Linked DNA regions of Coturnix japonica. The protein of the gene in region 1 interacts with the protein of each later gene in a biochemical or structural test. Links are inferred from orthologs where the notes say so. Each region holds a gene or a part of one and is shown on either strand. Other genes may lie near its edges.

Region 1 (5,330 bases):
TACATCCACCATGGGGCACCAAAAAATAAGATCAACAGAACTGTCCTTAGAGACACCTAAAGACAGCTTCAGCAGCTTGCCAAAGCAGACACTACTATACTTTCCACACTCACTCATGACTACAAGGTTGTTGCAGAAAGGTCACTTCAATATTTAAGCACATTTGTGGCTCCAAGTGGCACGACAAGGGTCAGCAGAAGAAGGTTGTGACAGAGGGCTGACATAGGCAGCCAATAAATCATGCACTTACCTGGGCCAACACACTCATAGTGCAAAATGGTATTTTTCCTGCAGATCACATTGTCAGCAGTAACGGGGCATTCAAACAACATCATGAACAAGAAATACTATAAGTACTTGCGACAATTGTAACATCCACTGGCAAACAGTACGGCCACAAAGAACACTCCATAATGCTTCCCTATTGCTCCAGACTGCCACCTCAGAACCTCAGCAGCACAGAGTGAAGGAGCCCAAATGGAAATCCACCCCACAAACTGCCCCAGGTCTCCAGGAAAACAAAAGACCACTTTAGCTTTGCCCAGCTGGCAATTTGTTGGCACCCAGCACTGCACAAAGCCAGAACTAAACTGCTGTTTCGCCTTCCTCACCACAAGGCCTTCCATCCAGGCAGCCTAACTGCACCTCATTAGGGAGACAATGTTCTCTTCAGTAGGACCTGGAAACCACTGTAGGAGGGTAAGATATACCGGCCACTCTCGTAACCCGCAGATTGAAAGGAAACAGAAACTAGATCAGATGTAGACATGCTTATTTTTTTTCCACTGAAACTATCTCAGCAGTATTCAGCAGAGCTTGACCTACTTCCTACGCCATCTCTTTGCTGTCACTTCCTCTGACAGTTTGTCAGCACACTTGTGAATCTGAAGATTAAGGAATGAATGTCTGGAAGCAAAAGAGCTGAGGACTTCCTTTTAATGCCACCTACAGTCAAAACTTCTATGCCCTAATCAGCAAGATGCGCAGTGACCAGACTTACAACAAGTACTTTCAATTATTAGCATCCTTCAAGAGCTCCAAACCAACTGCCCAACTTAGCTTACAAGTACGCCCTTAAAGATGACTTCATCTCTCATGAAATACCCATTTTCTTCTTTCTTTCGCTCACAACATGGATCAGGATCTACAAACAGTTGCAGGTTCCCTGTTTTCCTGTATTTCATAGATCCTGTCTAAGAAGATATTACATACAACATTATACTTGTAATATATTCTTATATATATATATCCTATCCTTAATATATCCTTACAAATGAATAAGAGTTTAAGTATCACTGGCTGCAAGCAGATGATGCTCTGCTTTGCACCTACAACCACACAGTCACTAAATTTACAGCCGTAAATCCCAAAATGAAATAACGCTCTTTTCTTTACTTAGCATAAACCAACGCCAAAACACACAACGGTTATAACACAGATTTTGCACTGACACAAATATTTAAGCTTTGTTTTAATTGAAATACTGGTAGTTGAAGGCATGTGAACTTAAGGCACGCTGCAGATGCCTAACCATAACAAAGAGCAGTTCCTTAGCTCCCGGCCCGGCCATTCACAACAAATAGGTAAGAACTTCAGAAGCGGTTAGGATACTTCCCTTATGTGGCACGAAAAGGGCACAAAAAGAGCCTGACTTCCCAGCTGGCTGCCTCGGTTTCCTACCACCCAGGCTTTTCCTGCGGGGTGTAGGGGAAAGCAGGAGGGGATGTCCGGTGTAGACTCGTGAACTTTGCCACCATGCTACTCGCTTTGAAACTGCTGGCCTAAGACATAAAGCCACACAGACCGCAACACTCATGCGAATGAAAACCCGGCCGACCTATCCGGGAAAGCCCTCACCTCCACTAACACAGCTTCGCTTCTCAGCATAAAGAGCGATGAAAGATGCATCATCAACAGGTCATCGAGCTGCTTCTTTGTGCAATATGAAACGCTGCCCAACAGAAACTGGAAACAGCCCTCTGTCCCCACGGCCTCCCCCCGTGCAGATTTCAAATGGAACAAATAAAGCCATCGCTCCCGGGATGTGGAACCGAGGCTCGATGATTCCAGCCACTCTACACGGCGACGAGCACGTTCCGAAGGCTCGGGAGTCCCAACGAAAACAAACGAGCGGCCTTTAAAAGGCACAGCCAGAAACGAGAGCGCTACAGCCCAACTACGAAACAGCGTTTTGCAGAGCTCAGACAACAGCAGCTTTTGAGGAGAGGGAGCAAAAACACGACGAACAAACAAGCGTCGGGTAGAAAACACAACAACTGCCTTTTCAATGCAGCCCGGAGGCAGCACGCGACCTCCCGGCTCTTAGTTAGCTCTGTCCGAAACCGCATTGCTCAACGACGCGGTGAAAGTTGCGCTGCTCACAAAGAGCCGACGGGGGAGGAGGGCAGGCGTGAAGGCTCCCATAGCAAGCTTTCATCTCGGCAGCTCAACAACGGAGCCCGCAGCGCGGTGGGGGCAGCGCCGGGCCGGGAGGCAGCGCACCCAGCGCCCTTTGTGTGCTGGGCCTCATCGCAGCCTCCAGTTCCACGCACACTTTCCTCCCCTCGGGGAAATAGGGATCACCACGAACCCCTCGATTCGATAAAACCTCCCGAGTCCATAAACAGCGTGATTTTAAAGCGTATTATTCTTAATATCTCCGCTCCTCCCCCCCCCCCCCCCACACACACACCCGTCCCCCTCCCGAGGATGGCTGGCTGCCTGCCGCTCCGGCACAAAGGCACGGCGATCCCCTCGGAGACATCACAGGGGAGGAAACAAAACCGCACGGAAAGCCGAGCAACCGGCACAAAGGCACGGGGGGAAAATACAAGAGAAAAAAAGGAATTAATGAGGGAAAGGGGAAAAATAAAATAAAATAAAATAAAATAAAATAAAATAAAATAAAATAAAATAAAGCAAACAAAACCAAACATAACAAGCCATGGAAGCCAGAGCACAAAGCGGGGAAGGGGGCCAGGCCCCGAGCTGCGCCCTCCAGCCGCGCGGAGGAGGGATGCGGCGCAGCGAGAGCGGGACTTACCGCAGGAAGGAGAGGAACCCGCGGCTCCTTGAAGCGGCGGAGGGACCGCAGAGACGGAGCGAGCAGCGACCGACCGGCCGCCTTCCTCAGCCGGAGAGCAAAGCACAGCCGGGCAACGCCGCCCACACCAGCCGCCGCTCACCCGCACTACTGGCCGCGATGCCGCCGAGAACTCGCGCAACCAACAGGGCGGAGGGCGGAGCTGACGGGGGGCGGGGGAACGGCCGGGGCGTGCTGGGAGTTGTAGTGGGAAGCTTAAGGTGGGGGCGGGTTTAGGTGTGATATACAATATATATAAACCTGGGCTCGTAGAATCATTAAGGTTGGAAAAGATCTCTAAGATGATCCAGGCCAATCAGGTGGTGATGTGGTGACTCAGGCCCAAGTGACTGTCACTGGTGAGCACAACACAACACAAAATGAGCACCGTGATCCATCCCCCAGTTGTGAGTCAGCCCACAGACACACACATGGAAATGCTTTCAACCATGAGTCAAAGCTGAGCTCCTTGCTGAAAGGGTTGAGCACACCGGCACACAGTGCTGGCCGATGACCTCCTCTCTTCCTTGAGATCTGTTTCTGGATGCTACCAATGGCTTTTGTTTTGCTTTTTGGAGTTCAGTTCATGTCTTGTTCCCAAATTATTGCAGCCGACATCAAACCCTGCTGCTTCCACCTGTAAGATGAAAGTACCTCCTTCTGTTGTGTGTCATTTTCATCTCTGAACTTCATTTGTTGCATCCTTGTCCTCTCGCCCTGGAAAACTCCTCCTGCAGCCCCTTGGTTTTTGCTAGTCTCCCTGAAGTACCCGTGACACTGGTGAGGAAAAAGCCTTGCCTTGAATATATCCCAAAGGAGAACACTCTGTCTCAGGCTGATGCCTGCAAACTCGAGCTACTGCAGCTTATTGCAGCCTGTAATGAATCAGAGGGCTGTGAAAGCACAGACTTGGTACCATGATCCAGCAGCCCACCCTCCTAGCAAATGCTTAGCCCTGACCATCTGGGGCTCTGGTGGCTCTGTTAGTTCTTGCATGGCCCCAAAGGAGACACAGTGTTCCTCCATGGAAGGAGAAGCCTCTAATGGCGTGGTGATAGATGGCCATAAGTCATGTTGGCTTCTTCTATGACAATAAAATGACAGCTGCTAGGAACTTTGTTTATTTTGTCCTGGGCCAGCAATTGCCCGGGAATGTCTGAGCTGGGGACCTCTAGAAGGAAGCAGCTTTGATATGTCAAAGAAAACTTTAACAGCACTGGTACATTACCAGCTGACCTCAGGACCAGAAAACCAGTCGGGACATGCTTAATTAATCCATGTATCCATTGTCTTCGAGGCTTGATGATGGACCACAAAGTCCACTGATGGAACCCAAACTCACCTCCCTTCCCCTGTGCAATGACCAAATTGACTCCCACTACAGCAAGGCTCTCAGCCACGGAAAATGAGACATTCCCAGCAGGGAAGCTAGGAGAAAGCACGCTGTTTTTTTAAAAAGCTTGTTGCCTGGTTGCAAGAAAAGGGGAGGAGAATTTCAACTGCCTCTTGGTTGAGCGCCCTGTGAGTCACTCGAATGCTGAGGTGTGGCATCCAGGCCTGCCAAGCACGGCAGACCCGCCCTTGCTCCCTATTTCTGCCATGGGAGACAAACAGCTCTGTGTGGCTGGGTGTTGGCCCTGCTTTGGGTATGGTTGGTTGCCCAGGGAAGACAAGCTGCCCACCAAAAACACCACCTGGGATGCTTTGGAATGGGGCACATGGATACATCCGATGGGGCACTCCAAAAAGCTGCAGAAACAGCGCAAGTGAAGTGCTGGGGAAGCCAAAATGGGGATTTTTATGGCTCTGTGCTGATAGCAAAGCCAGGCTGTGACCTCGGCAAGGGCAGGAAACATAGGTGTGGTGTCCACGCCTGGATCTGGCTGCAGGGATTTTCCCTACGTAGCAACAGTTGTTATGTAGCAATAACACTCAGCAATTTTCGAGGCATTTCAGAAATATTAATTAATCCACATATCAGCCTCCTAAGGCAGGCAGCTAGATATATTCACCCATGCTTTACAGCTTGGGAAGGGGAGATGATTAATTGAAGGGATGTCATGGCAGGAGGCTGGAATGAGGAGAACGGATGTGATACAAAGGCAGCAAGGACAAATCAGTGGGAGCTTCACTGGAACTTCTGCTGGGGGATGCTTTTGCCCTCTAGAAAATACATGGGCCTGGTAGGCTTTTCTTTGCAGGGATAGAATTTGGAAGTGCAAGCTGCAGGGCTTATGATCCAGCAGGG
Region 2 (5,017 bases), on another chromosome or scaffold:
TCAAGAAGACTCCCGTGCAGTGGGAGTGTTTATGGCATAAACACACAATTCCACACAGGTAATGGTTTCACTTGCAGTTTCCTTGATCTTGCAGAAATGCTCCCAGAAACACAACAGGAGAAGCATTACAGAGCAAAAGAGAATATTTACTATCATTCAGAAGAACAAACCTATGAAAGCCGAGCCACATAACTGCACTAGTAAGGAAAACATTCAAACCACACAGGTTTGGACAGTGTCTAAGAAGTTCATGTTTAGTAAATTTGCATACAGGAAGCCTCAAATCCAGACAGTAATTCAGTAACCAGTTCATTAAATATTTTTACAGGAAATCTCAGAATAACACTGAATAACAGGGGAAGTTTTGCAGAAAGTCAAGACATGAATTTTGCTGAACTTAAAGTTGCAGTTAAGGAGCTGCTGGGTTCTAGGTGACATTCTCTTCAGCCTTTGTTTCCAAAACTTCCAGTGCTGCGGCGTGGATGGCACCAATGAGTGTTAGGAACCAGAGCTGTTGGCTGGACTGTGAGCCACAGGCTGGGCCAGCTCAGTCACACTGGGACCAGGAGCCTATGGCCGCCAGAACACACTGCAGTTCTGCACCAGGGAAACAGAATTATTCCTGGAAGATAGTTAAATGCAGCTGGAGTTTGTAACGCCCTTAAAGCACTCTGAGATTCGCCTTTTGTCCCTGTGGAGCCTGGCTGCATCTCTCCTAGATCCCATTTAAGGGCTGACTGCCACTAAGGAAGGATCTCCTTCTCTGGAGATTGCTCCTTTGTGGAGTTTACTGCAAGCCTTCAATATTGGTGAGCATTTCCATTTATTATAGATTATCTTTCCATCACGATAATCTTTCTTAACGAAACATCTGTTTAAACCTCTGTTTACCTATTGATTGTACAACTGAATAACCGTACAGTGCCACAGTGCAAACAGCACAGTGAGAGCAGTGAAATGAAGTGGGCAATACTCCTGAGAGTGGATGCTCCTGAATGCTCCTCCTCAGCACGAGCAGGAAGAAATAAAGGCCCCACAAAAAATGTCAGTGAATCTCTTTCCTTTCTACAATGAAATCTTGAGGATTAAAGCACAAATATTTCATAGAGAACAGCTTAGCAAAGGGCACTGAAAATGCTCTTCACTAGTGTTGGAGTTTAGCAGACAGCTAAGCACCTCCCTCCACCCCAGTAGGATGGGGGAGAAAATTAGGAGAAAATGTAGTAGAACTTGTGGGTTAAGATAAAACTATTTACTGAGAAAAAGACAAGCAGCAGAAGAGAGCGTGATGAACTCCCAGCCCCTTCTAAACTCCTTCTGCTTGATGTTGTATGGTATGGAATATCCCTTTGGCAGGTGTAAGTCAGCTGTCCTGATTCTGTTCCCTCCCAGCTCCTTGGAGCCTTGGCTCTGCACAGCACTGCTTAGCAGCAATTATCAACATCACTGTGCTATCAATGTTTTTCTTCTCCTCGAACCAAAACATGGCATCATACCCAACATTCTGAAGGGAACAATTCTGTTCCAGCTGAAACTAAGACAACTCGCCAGGAGATCTTAAAAGAATTGCTGTAGGTTTCTTTATACAGGAAACCCCAGATTCTACTGGTGCTGTCAGGAACACTATATTGCTCTCTGTTTCAAAAAGGACAATCTCCAGCCATACTTTACTGGTGCACCCAGACAGAACAGGTTGGTGGTAGGTACAGCAGTCTGGGATTCACGGCTGGACAACGCTCCCATCAGCGCAAACCACTGGTCTGTATGCAAAAGTTCCTCAGTCCCAACCATGGGGCTTACTGCAGAAGTTCTGTTTCAGCAGCATGGCTTTTTTTGACACATACTGTTTTGCACTATTTCCTCTTGCCAGCAGCACTAAAACAAACAGGACCTCAAGAGCAGCTAAGTGCAGTGCTTGTCTGATGCTCATGTTTTAGAGGCAAGGAGCTGAGCACCTGCCTGCCATCTCCCTGACTCTGCACTGCTTCCAACACTGAAGGCCAGGGACGGTTCAGGAGAATATGAGGTAATGCAGCCATCCAAAGGCACAGCGTGGCTGATGGACAATGGCTACTGACACACAGCTCATCCCAACAGCACAAAGGAGCTGTGCAGGACTGGCCCCAGACTCAGTCACTGCAGTTTGGATCTCCATCTTCCTGCCCCTCTCCTGGACCACACAGACAATAACTCATGAAGCTGCACTGGCTTAAAAGCAGCAGTCACTGGCCTTGCTCTTCCAGACACATACAAAATAAAGTGAGCAGACCGACAGGATTACAGGAGCAGAGAAGTGAGATAATGTGGTAGTGGAAATGTGCTCTGTCCATAGGCTTTACCCAGGTGCTCCACAGCTCACAGCCACCTGCTTCCAAGCAGAGAACCTTCTTATGAACTTGATAACTACTTATTAACTGCATTAATTAATTAACTGCACTGTGACATTTATTCTTGAAGGCCGGAAAGCCACCAGCAGGAACCTATCTGTAAGGAAGGTACCTCTAGATATTTCTGCTGTACCTCCAGTGCAGCCCTTGGATGTTCCCACATTTATCACCAGAGGATGCGATCTGAGCACGGCGCTGTCAGGGCACACTGGACACTGGTTACAAGAGCAGGTAGGTGAGACTGGCAAACAGGAATGAAACCACATTATTTGGTCTGCACAGGTCAGCCAGAAGGGATCAGCAGGAAAAGATACACTGAGGTCTGGTTACTGCTATGTAGTGTAACGTGAACGATAGCCATAGGGGGCCGTTCAACCATTCATAGCAGGTGCAGAACGAGGCAGGAAATCGCCGTTCAACTTCCTGAGCCCTTCGGAAGCGGCTCCTCGGGCCTGTGCTCCCCGGCAGCCGCCGCCCAGCGCCGCGTTCCGCCCGCAGCCCGTAGCACTGCGGCGGGGCCGGGACTCACTGCGGGCTGGGGGCGGCCGGGAGCGGCCTGTGCTCGGCGGTGCCTCCGCCCGGGTCGTTCCGCGGCTCCCGTGCCCGAGTCCCGCCCAGCCGCATCCCTCGGCCCTCGGCCCTCGGCCCACCCAGCCCACCCGCCCCCCGGCCGGGCACCGCGCCGCGCCCCTCGGCCCAGTCCCCGCCGCCGCCCCCTCGCTCCGTTCCCTTCTCCGCAGCCCTGGCCGCTCTGTCGCCGCCTCCCGGCCCGGCCCCGCCGCCCGCTGCCCCGCGGAGAGGGGCGGCCCCTCCCAGCGCCCCCGGCCCAGCCCGGCCCCGCCGCCCGCTCACCCGCACCCGTGGTGGCCGCCATCTTGCGCCGCTGCCGCCGGACCCGCCCCCCAACGCCGCGTCAGCGCAACGCGGGAAGTGAGGCCTCGCGGGGCGGGCGGGCGCGCTAAAGACGAGGCGAGAAAGAGGAGAGCTCTGTGGTGCACGCCGGAAGTCGCCCGAACTTCGCCGCGCGGGCGGGCACAATCGAGGTTAGCGGCGTTCTCTGTTGGGCTGGGGGGGCTCGAGCTGTTCGTGCCCCCCGAGGGCGGCAGCCGGCTCGTGTCCGGGACAGCAGAGCCCTGGATCCTCCAGGGAAGCCTGAAACACGGGCATGCTTTCAAACATTTAACGTCCTATAAAACTCCAGTGCAATTAATAATGGCCAAACCACGTTCATTATGGTCGGAACGCAGGCAGCATTTAACTCCTAATGCTCTTAAATTACCCAGTCACTTGGTAATAATCTGGTGTTGTTTATGTATTTGCTTCCCAAACGTCTTCAGCTAAGGAAAGTACCAGAGTGGTGCAACATTTCCTTTCCTTTGCTGCCATTCTCTCGTTGCCGTGAAGCACTGGCAGCAATCCGTGCTGTGTGTTCTGTGCAGACCCACAGTGAGCGCAGCCGAAGGAAGCAGCCAGCAGCACGCAATGCCCGCCCGTCTGCAGCAGGAAAGACACAGCACACACGGGTGTCCCCGCTTTGCTCCTGAAGGTTGGGACTATGCAGAAATGGAATCGAAAACAGGCGCTGCCAGATGGGACCTGACAGCAGATGGACCTAGAGGGCTGTGCTTCAGCGGCAGCATTTTGCTTTGCCTCTGTCTAGCCAGTACAGTAAAAAACAAACAAAGAAACCTGGGAGGAAATGAATTAATAAATTCTGCTTTGTCTTGCACTACATATCCCCAGATATTGTCCTGAGACATCGCATGGACATCTCACAGAAATTATTAGAAGATTTAGAGGCTCATGACTGCCATTCAAACCCTCATCCTGCTGTATCAACCCCACAGCGCACAGCTACAGCACCATTTCTACCAGCTATTCACTGATGCTGCTTTAAAAACAGCAATGCCAGTCTTGCTGCTGGTCAGACTACAGCTGAAGCCTAACGCTGCATTTCAGAGGCAGCCGAGAGCAGCACGGGAAACGAGCAGGGCAGAAGCTGGGTGGCACAACTGCTCGGCAAAGCTGACCTGGAGCTGGGGGTGCAGATGCCAGGAGCTCCCGTTGGAACTGCTGCAGTTCTGGGGCAAGGTGGGTGCTCAGTGCAACCCCACTGTTGCAGCCCCCTTCCCCTCTGCACCAGGTTTGGGAGGGGATAACAGGTATGGGCACCTCAGGACAGCCCAAACCTCCTATTTTAGAACTGCTCCAGGCGGGATCAAGGCAGCGTTTTGCTGCTGCTGCTGGAGGCTGTTCTGCACCTCCTGCTGCCGTTCTGGGAGCCCCAGGGAGCAGAGGGTCACCCGCATCTTTTAGAGAAGTGACAGGGGGAAACTAAGTGGCCTCAGCAAGTGTCAGTCACAATGAAGCCCAGGCCCACGCTGGAGCTTAAGAGGGGCTGGTTCTGTTTTAGCTCTAATCTGTTCCTAATCAACTTAAGGCAAATTCATCTTAAGCCAGATTTACATCTGTTGAAAAGGATCCACGTAGCTTTTTGCTTCAGAATCGCTATGTGGATTTGACAGAAGCACCCACTGCTTTAAGAAGATGAAGGAGTTCTGGAATCCAGCAGAAAGACCAGAACCAAGCCAGCATTCATTAACACTGCTAGGGATTCTGCTTGACTCAAC
Region 3 (5,140 bases), on another chromosome or scaffold:
AAGGGAGCATCCTGCTCCCCCCAAGGACTGTGTGAGCCACTGCAAGAACTATGGAAACACAAAGTTTCACCTCTGGCCACTGTAACAGCTCACACCACCCACAGGACAGCAGGATAATGTTCTGAACCCATCTCATATTTAACATGGTGATACTTTCTGGAGATGTACTACTCAACTCTTCATAGACAACCAAAGACACTATAAAGAACAAAGTTATTAATTGGAAAAATGTTGAGGACAACTCACAGCAGCAAGTTTCTTGACAGCCACATTTCTGCCGTTGATGTAGCCTTTGAACACAACGCCAAAGCCACCTTCCCCCAGCTTATTTCCTCCAGCCGATTCTGGTCGTTCATCAAAATTATTTGTAACATTTTCCAAGTCGTGAAACCAAAAATTGTGGAAATCTAGAAGACACAATTGACATTTAGCACAGAACCACATTTCTACTCAAATAACAAGCATATTAAATAGATCCTCGAATTCTAATCTATATCAGAATACTTTCTTTAGTCACCTTTTTCCCATACTTCTTAGTTATTTCTGATAACTAAGATCCGAATGCAAAGCACAAGGTGCTAAACAGTCTACAAAAGCAGTATTGAAAGAAGGCAATAGAATTACACATAGAACAAACATTACAATGTCACAGAGTCCTAGTAGTATAGAGGGGATAGAGTACTATAGAAAGGACCTCTGCAGATCATCTTGTTCAACCCCTCTGCTAAAGCACGTTCACTACAGTAAGCTGCATAGGAGAGCATCCAGATGGGCTGTGAACACCTCCTGAGAAGGAGACTCCACAACCTCTCCCCGGTTTTTCCTCAAGTTCAGATGGAACTTCATGTGTTCCTGTTTGCGTCCGCTGCCCCTTCTCTGCCTGTTAAGATTCTTCTTAGACTTCTCTTCTCCAGGCTGAACAGGTGACTCAACCTTTCCTCATAAGTCAGATGCTTCAGGTCTCTCATCATCTTTGTGGCCCTTTGCTAGACCATCTCTAGAAGTTCCCTGTCTTTCACGAACCAGGGAGCCCAGAACCGGACACAGTGTTCCAGATGCAGCATTACCAGGGCAGAGTAGAGGGGATCATTTCCCCTGACCTGCTGGCTACACTCTTTGTAACATGCCCCAACATACCATTGGCCTTCTTAGCCACAAGAACACACTGCTGGCTCATGGCCAACCTGCTGTCCACCAGAAATTGTTGGTCCTTCTCCGCAGAGCTGCTTTCCAGCCAGGCAGCCCCTGACCTGTACTGATGCATGTGGTTATTCCTCCCCAGGTGCAGGACTCTACACTTGCCCTTGCTAAACTTCACACCGTGGCACTAGTGTGACTACGTTATTTCTCATTTTTTGATGTCTTATTTGCACAGGTTGCGTTCAGTCTCACAATACAAGAACAAAAAGCACGAAGACGCAAATGCAGTCATTACTGTGCATTCCAGTGCGTTCCTAGGACTTATTTCACACAGGTGAAGGACAGATCAGCAAAAAACACTAACTCATTTTAACAAACTAAGCACCTACCTGTGTTACTAGGCTGTGCGCTGCTGTTCTCTTGACTTAAACATGGAGGGGCTGAAGGTTGCTCCTCTGTATTCTGAGACAACACAGGCTTTACAGATGTCACTTCTTTTTCCTGTATAGGCTGTTGTTTTTCATGTATAGGCAAAGTTTCCTGTGAAGAAAGAGGTAATGTAACTTCTTGTGCCATCCCGACAGCTTCTGAAAATGGAATTTAGAAAAAGCGTTAACCGTATTAGGAAACAGAAAACATAAATAGCATTACGTCAGTATTTACTAAGGTTATAATCTTGCACCACATGAAAATTGCAGGACTTTCATTTAAACTTGGAAAACTGTAGCCCACTTCCATAAAACTCCTATTGTAAATGATGGAAAATGTATCCTCTTTTGGTTATTTTCACCTAATCCTTTCTGACCGTCCAACTACTGTGAAGGTCACTGGCATCATACAGACAAGGGAGCACAGCACAGAATATACATGGATAACAGTTACCTGGAAGCAAAAGACTTGCTGGTGCTAGAAACTGGTTCCTAATCAGCAGATCCACAAGGTCACCGACTGTACAATTTGTTGTTCCCCAATCATAAAGCAACTCACATGTGGGACTCTTTCCCATTTGCACAAATGCTTCAAATCTCCTTAAAAAGAAAAATTAAAGCTAACTTTGAAAAGAAAAGTAACAAAAAAAGGAGCGTGATTAATGGTAAATAAAAATAAACCCAAAATCACTATATAATGAATTGTACTTCAGCAGTACAACAGAAGTACTGCTAAATACAGAATCACAGAATGACCCGGGTTGGAAGGGACCTCAAGGATCATGTAGTTCCAACCCCCCTGCCTGGCAGGGCCACCAAACATACACATTTACTAGATCAGGTTGCCCAGGGTCCCGTCCAACCTGGTCTTGAACACCTCCAAGGACGGGGCATCCACAACCTCCCAGGGCAGCCTGTTCCAGGGCCTAGCCGCTCTCCTAGTGAAGAACTTCCCCCTAACATACAACCTAAATCTTCCCTCTTTCAACTTAAAACCATACAGGCCTTATGAAAACACACATACAACCCCCTGTACACAAAATGACACCAAAGAAATGCAAACTTGGGTAAAAGGACACGTTCTACGTTTGTCCATGGCAAACAGTCTGTAGGGCTTATTCTGATTCAATCAGTTCTCTGTAGCTCTCACAGAACCATTTGAGTTGGAATGGACCCTTACAGGCCATCCATTCCAACTGCCCTGCCCTGAACAGGGACACCCACAGCCATATCAGGCTGCTCACACTAAATGTCTCCAAGGATGGGGCATCCACCATATCTCCGGGCCCCTGTTCCAGCCCCTGTAAACAGTTACTGCAAAAGACTTCTTCCTTATATCCAACCTAAATCTCCCCTCTTTAAGCATGAATCCATTTCCTCTTGTCCTATCACCACAGACCCTGCTGAAGAATCAGTCCCCTCCTTTCTCACAGCCCCTTCAGACACTGACAGGCCGCTCTCAGCTCTCCCCACAGCCTTCTCCTTTCCAGGCTGAACAGCCCCAGCCCTCTCAGACTAGCAGGAGAAGTGTCACTTGTCTCAAAAGCAAACTGGAGAGGAACTAGTTTGGGTTCCCTCAGGAAGCACTATGTGAGATACGTTCTGAGCAGTGCTGGACACACACACACACACGGAGGGCACATTGATGCCAATCCAACATCAGTGCACGCGGTTACATCACCCGACGGCCACACCAGACCTGATGTGCGCCTGGCTGTATCTGCTCTCGCCTGCCGGGTCGGTGATGGCCGCGGCCAGCCGCTTCCATCCCTCCTGCGGGTCGAGGAGGTCGGCCAGCTGCCTCAGCAGCCCGTAGCGCAGGCTGCGGACGTAGGTGGCGGTGGTGACCGGCTGGCTCATGGCGGGGCGGCCAGGAACCTCAAAGCCACCAGCTCTCGCCACTTTACCCGGACAGCCCCTCAGCACCTCCCCGTTCCGAGGCCGTGACGCCACCTCCGCCCGCACTACCAGCGCCCCCTCCCGCTTCCTGCGCCGTCCCGCAGCGCTCCACAGCCGGCAGGCGGGGCTGGGGGAGCTCGGTACGGCCGTGCCCCCTCTCTGATGGCCGGGGGCTGGGTACAAGCGGCGCCCCCTGGTGGTCGCGGTAGGGAGATGGTTGTCCCTCCATTTTCTGTTTTCCCCCTTTTTTAATGATCTTTATTAGTATTGTTATTAATTTATTATTTTTTTTCTCCTCTGGCAGCATCGGGCAGGGGAGCCATGTTGCTCTCCCTCAGTTACGTGACCGATCACATCGGCTTCCGCGGGACGATCAAGAAGACGCCCGCTGACTTCGTGGTGAAGGAACTGGAGCTGCCTCAGCGCCCCGCGGCACCCCGGCCCCGCAACCCAACGCAGTCCAACGCACCGCCGGGGGAACCGCCCGCTGCCTCCGCCACAGCCAGAGCCGGGGCTGGGAGCACGGTGACACACCATGAGCAGAGCCGCTGTGCTCTGAAATCCGGCCCGGAGGCAGCCGATGTGTTGGATTCCCTTTTGGGCAAGGCCGCGAGTGAGAGGCTGACTAAATTCGCTTGTGATCTGAAGGAGGCCTGGGACACGGAAGGGGGTTGTGATGGCGGAGCCGGGGAGTTCTCTCTGGGAGCCGTGGTGGACAAGGGAGATCGGGCCGATTTGCACGGTGCCATCAGGCAGAGATTCCCCTTTTTGGTCACTGTGACAAAGGGCAACGAGATGGTTGTGAAAGGAAACGCTGACTACAGAGAACTGTGTCAGCTCGTGACTGAAAAGGAAACGAGCGATTTCTTTAAGTTTTTGGATGCCAAGCTTGAAAATTCCACTTTTTCTTTTGAGCCCGATGGAAATAAGGAGCACAGAAAAGTAGTTCACCACTTCATCAATAAAAAATTTGGTAAAATTTTAGAAACAAAGTCTTTTACTGTGGCAGACGTCACGCAGAAGCCAAATATGTCAATCATGGTAAGGTTTAGAGGGAAAAATTGCTCCAGAAAGAGGCCTGCTGATGGTTTCCAGGTAAAACAAGATATTTATACAGGTAAACATTACATTTTTAGTGGGAATATTGGGTATTGTGGTATATCTGCAGTAATACTGACCATCAGAATCATTTTAGAATGGTCAGTATGGTCCAGTATATGGATTTAAGAAGCGTATTCTGATGTTGGGCAGCTTATAGTGAGTTCAGATTTGATTTATGATCTCATTTCGTAAAGGCGTTGGTTTCTGATCCACGGAACATTGCTAGCACTAAGTCAGGTTACTGGAACTGCATTGCATTTGATCAGGTGCTGCTCCAGAGGCCAGCAGGGGTTTTGATTGTTCTCACTTTTGTTTACTGTGTCTTTACCCTTTTCTTTCAATACTGGAAATGTCCCAATTCTCTTAGTTTTGTGGAGTGGGAGAGGAGACAGAACACTTCCTCTGTGGTTGTCATGCTGTTATGGTTTGAAAGGAAGAACCTGCAACCTGCCATGGCAAAGCACCTGTGTGATTTAGAAATGCAAGTTTCTAATAATTCTGGGATGATTGTTTCAGCTTTCACCCTTCAGAAAGAAAATCTAGAAACTCTGGAAGCAATCAGCTTCTTGGCT
Region 4 (4,553 bases), on another chromosome or scaffold:
AACTGGTTAGCTGCTTTTATCAATGCGATTAGCATCACCATAAAAAGGGAGGAGGAGCCCACAAAATTAAAACGAAAAGCCCCGCAGCTAACCCTGCCTACCTTCATTCACAGTGCTTATGCTTAAACCATGATGGGATTAAAAGCAGAGATGTGCTGCTGCTTTTAAACAATTTCACAACAATCCAGATGATACTTCTAGCCTCTGCTCATGCGTTACAATAGTGAATTAGGACAAGACACAGATTCGCTAATGTGCATTTAATCACCAAAAGACTGAAGATGTCTGGGCTTTTATTCTGTAATGTTTCTAAGACTGTGTCCATTAAATGCAAACAAAAAAAGGAAGAGGTCTTGGCAGAACAGGAGAAGTGATGCACACTTGATGTTCAAAGCACATTTAAATATTATTCATGGCATATAGCCTAGTCCATGCTCTGGCTGCAAAGAAAAAAAAACACATTTAAGAAAAAAAGGAAAGTATTTTTCAAGCTTTATTCAAGCTAATTGACTTTTTAATGTTACTTTTAAACTGTTGCAAAGACACAAAATGTATCAGTTGTGAGGCAAGTGTGACTTTAACCTCTTAATATACACAATACGTAATAGACAGAAACAGAGATCTGATGAAGCAGCACAAGCACAGCGAGGCCAGAAGTGACAGAATGAAATCATTCTTTCCACAGCTGAGACAGAAGCAGGTATGGAAGAGACGCCTTCTGGAGCTAAATAACCCATTCCTTAAACATCACAGGTAAAACACAGGTGTGAACATCTATTTTATCATATGCCCACACTGGACACCCTTGCAATTTAGGTACGTAAAAGCTCAAGAGAAAACCACTAAGTTTCCTCCTAGGCGGCTGCATTTACACACTTAAGTAGACCACTGCAGGCATATGCAGGAAACCTGGACAACAACCGCAAGCAGTAATTAATTACTTCTGCAAACTGCAGGCACAAAATAGAAGGCTGGGATTTCAATTCCCCAACCAATTAGCCATCGGCTCACCGTATTTCCTAAAAGCTGGAAGAAAAGCATCAGATACATCACCTGTTTCTATGGCTTGGGCTTCATTGGTCTTCCATTGCTCAGCTACATCGTTTGCTAGTGGATCATCTGGATTGGGAGCGCTTAACAAAGCCTGGATTGATAGCAGAACTGTACGAATCTGCAAAGCTGGGGACCATTTATCTAAAGAGACATTTATAGCAGTATGAAATACCACATTTGCAGTCTACTGAAATAACAAGTTTTCCGCTCCCACATTAAAGGGTAAAGATATCCATATAAACAAATCTCTTTTTAGAGAGAATCTCCGAGTTTCTGTATGTGATAAGAAGAAAATAAGGTTGCACTTACCTTTCAAAATATCTAAACATATTCTTCCCAGCTTGTCTACATTAGGGTGATAGATTTTGGTCATGAAACGTACTTTAGGAGCTGCCATTGGATATTCTTCTGGAAGGAAGAGTTCAAGTTTAAATGTCCCACCCTCAAAGGGGGAATCCTGTGGACCTGCAATGACCACGTGAAAATAACGTGCGTTGCTTTCATCTGGTTCTGCTTTTATCCCAGGGACTGGCTCTGCCAGCAAGCGCTGGGTTTCCTAGAAGGAGAAGGAGAGGCAATGGAATAAATACAAACTGTTTAACGTAAGCACACTGTATGAACTATTTTAAAGACAAGTCTTCATTATGAATTAACTACACCCACTGAAACTATGAAGTGAGCATCAAAGTCAAAGAACACAATGTGGTAAACTGGTAGAGATCTCCTTCCAAATCTCTCAGCTGCTACAACAACTTGTGCCTCCTCCTCAGCACAAGGTAATGGCCACCAATCCAGAGATTTAAGGACAGCTTTACTTCTGATTCAACTACTGCCAAACCAGCTTCTTCAGTATAAGCAGAAGCAATCTAAAGAACATCAGTGATAACAGCAGAAGCATTTCCCATTCTGCCTTAAAGAGAAGCCTAACAGTGACAAACAAAATGACCAACCACTCACAGAAAGCATTCAAGATTTACTCTAACGTGAGCACATTGATTTTAAAATGAATGTCTGCCTTGGAATCAGAATCAGCTCTGAAGAACTGAAAGTACTACTCAACCCCAGTATTAAAGACGTTGCTATATGTATAAATACCTAAAACATCTGTATGTGTGAACCACCTTTGCTCAAGCACATTCAGCCTATGTAATAAGCACACTTAAAGCTCCTCTAACAATCAGTAGGAGACAACAAGCTGTTCTGTACACGTTAGAATCAGGGAAGCCTGCTTTCCTACCTAGATTTGTGTTCTTTGTTGCTCTGCCTCCAGCAGTAACTCTGTGCCACGCTCCCCAAAGTGGCCACAGTGAGGAGCTGCCTGCGTTCTGGCCACCCATCCCACTAACGTGCTGAGCAGACCGAGCTCTGTACCCACTTCTTTCTCCACTACTGCCAGCCCTCACAAGTCCCGCAGGCACCATTGCACCCCAAAAAGAGGCCGATGTGGCAAGAGGACATCAGGCAGGGACAAGGAGTTCTGCAGAGACCCCATTTCCTCAGGTAATTTTAGCCCTGTTTCCTGCTTTTCCTCCAGCTTGTTTTCACTGCGTGCAGTTAATTTTATTACCGCCTTCCCCTGTTGACTTACACAAAGAGAATTTCTATTTCTGCCTTAGCAAGTGGTAACCTGTGGGTGTCATATTAATTTATTGCCCTAGTTTTATGGTGTATTTACTCAGTGTGTCTACAATAGCCGTAACATAAGCACAATAATTGTACGTGGCTTAAAGTCCTTCAAATATAACCCAGACTGTTACAATACACGTATTTTGTTAGAATAACTCAGGCAGCACTGAAGTGACTGTCATGACATGGTTAATATCTCACTTCAGCAACAGCAAATGAAATACCTGAAGCACTGAAACCCCAGTAATTAACACTACAATCCAAACATTTGTATCAAATGTATCAAGTTCCTACAGCTCATAATATTGATGTTATTATCTACATAAACACACGGCAATAAACTGATGTGATCCAACTTCTTGCTGGACTTATCCGCACAGGCAACAGCTGCCAGTACCACTTATGTACCACACTGTAAGGACATCCAAGGTGCTCTAAGCTTCCAACACTCACCCTTGCAAATATATTTCAAAGGATACAAATGAACTTGCAACACATACAAGATTTATGTTGCGTCCCCAGCCCCAGCTCTGTCCTGCTGACCCCCACACTGCCTCCCTAGTCACACCAGTGTGCTGACTGTACCCATACCACAGAGCCAATCCTAGCTTGAAACAACCCAGAATCAGCAGTTCCATGGCAGCAGCATCAGCATTTCTACCTGCCAGTGCATCCAAGGGAGCGGTGTCAGGCTGGGAGCTGCACATACTGCCACTAAAAGCCATTTGTCAGCAAACAATGGGTGAACCCACATACAAGAAAAAATGATTCTTTTGATAAGGTACAGCATCATACTGAGGGCTTTATCACTGCAGGAACGTCATTATGTTCTGACAGACCTTTATACCCTACGTTACACAGACACTGTTATCCTTCTATAAAATAACAGAAGGGATGAGAACCAAAAAAATCGTATAATGTTACATTGCCTGTTGGGCTCCTCAGAACCTGGGCTGGACATCTATGAACTGTGAGGGTGGTGAGATGCTGGAGCAGTTGCCCAGCAAGGCCGTGGATGCCCCCTCCCTGTAAGGATTCAAGGCCAGGCTGGATGGGGCTCTGAGCAACCTGGTCTAGAGGGAGGTGTCCCCACCCATAGCAGGGGGTTGGAACTACATGATCTTAATGGTCCCTTCCAACCCAAACTATTCTACGATTCTATGAAAAGGAGCAGAAAAGGGAAAACAAATCAAGAAGTTGTGTTTTAAGGCCACAGCACATAAAGATGATTAAACTTAAGCAGGACCAGTACTAAATACTGAGGCAGAATCAGAAACTCAGCTTCCACACTGTAAAGTCGTCTGAAGACCAGGCCAGCTGAAGACGTGCTGATCCTGAAATCCATTCCAGCTGCCATAAGTGGTATAAGCAGTAAGTTCCACTGGAGACACACAGCTGTTGTTACATGGGACAACACAGCACCACCTCAGGAAGCTCAACCTGCTTTAAGAATGTATATGTATTTATATATATGTATTTATAGGTATGTTGCACCCATTCCCCCTTCCCACCACCTCCAATACGGGCACCCACAAAAGAAGCCCATGGACGTGGACTCAATCTCCAAAAAGAAGCGTGTAATTTCCTTTAATACGTTAATCTAATTATCTGTTACCTTCCCCAGAGGACGGTTATCCACTGAAAAAGATCCAAATAAAAACCACAAGAAAAAAACCTTTCAATTTAATTTTTAACTCGCTACATTTAATTAGATTCATCTGGAAGCTCAAGTGTACATAACACTTCACTTTATAATACAGTAACTAAGTTTGTTTGCACAGGAATACTAAGTGCAATCTAAGTGGTAGCAGAATAGCACTTCACAGTGTTTCTTCCTAGCTCTCCGCTATCATAGTGAACTGAGTTTCACAGAA

Evidence for each region.
Region 2: the proteins of PELI1 (region 1) and ubiquitin-conjugating enzyme E2 variant 1 form a complex in vitro, tested with the Homo sapiens proteins (3 studies listed by BioGRID). The link is inferred for Coturnix japonica from reciprocal best matches to the Homo sapiens genes PELI1 and UBE2V1.
Region 3: of the proteins of PELI1 (region 1) and IRAK4, one has a biochemical effect on the other in vitro, tested with the Homo sapiens proteins (4 studies listed by BioGRID and IntAct). The link is inferred for Coturnix japonica from reciprocal best matches to the Homo sapiens genes PELI1 and IRAK4.
Region 4: the proteins of PELI1 (region 1) and UBE2N form a complex in vitro, tested with the Homo sapiens proteins (2 studies listed by BioGRID). The link is inferred for Coturnix japonica from reciprocal best matches to the Homo sapiens genes PELI1 and UBE2N.

What each region holds. Positions count from the first base shown.
Region 1 is NC_029518.1:1,823,228-1,828,557, reverse strand, and holds the start of PELI1 (E3 ubiquitin-protein ligase pellino homolog 1), read right to left. Parts: upstream 3,254-5,330; 5' UTR 3,044-3,253; intron 1-3,043. UniProt on the Homo sapiens protein: E3 ubiquitin ligase catalyzing the covalent attachment of ubiquitin moieties onto substrate proteins. Involved in the TLR and IL-1 signaling pathways via interaction with the complex containing IRAK kinases and TRAF6.
Region 2 is NC_029535.1:12,296,210-12,301,226, reverse strand, and holds the start of ubiquitin-conjugating enzyme E2 variant 1, read right to left. Parts: upstream 3,372-5,017; 5' UTR 3,262-3,371; coding exon 3,240-3,261; intron 1-3,239. UniProt on the Homo sapiens protein: Has no ubiquitin ligase activity on its own. The UBE2V1-UBE2N heterodimer catalyzes the synthesis of non-canonical poly-ubiquitin chains that are linked through Lys-63.
Region 3 is NC_029516.1:27,244,693-27,249,832, reverse strand, and holds the start of IRAK4 (interleukin-1 receptor-associated kinase 4), read right to left. Parts: upstream 3,429-5,140; coding exon 3,268-3,428; intron 2,169-3,267; coding exon 2,023-2,168; intron 1,728-2,022; coding exon 1,530-1,727; intron 408-1,529; coding exon 247-407; intron 1-246. Other genes in the region: PUS7L (pseudouridylate synthase 7 homolog-like protein), read left to right, coding at 3,427-3,607, 3,772-4,584, 5,085-5,140.
Region 4 is NC_029516.1:40,853,814-40,858,366, forward strand, and holds part of UBE2N (ubiquitin-conjugating enzyme E2 N), read right to left. Parts: intron 1,610-4,553; coding exon 1,363-1,609; intron 1,195-1,362; coding exon 1,054-1,194; intron 441-1,053; coding exon 400-440; 3' UTR 1-399. UniProt on the Homo sapiens protein: The UBE2V1-UBE2N and UBE2V2-UBE2N heterodimers catalyze the synthesis of non-canonical 'Lys-63'-linked polyubiquitin chains. This type of polyubiquitination does not lead to protein degradation by the proteasome.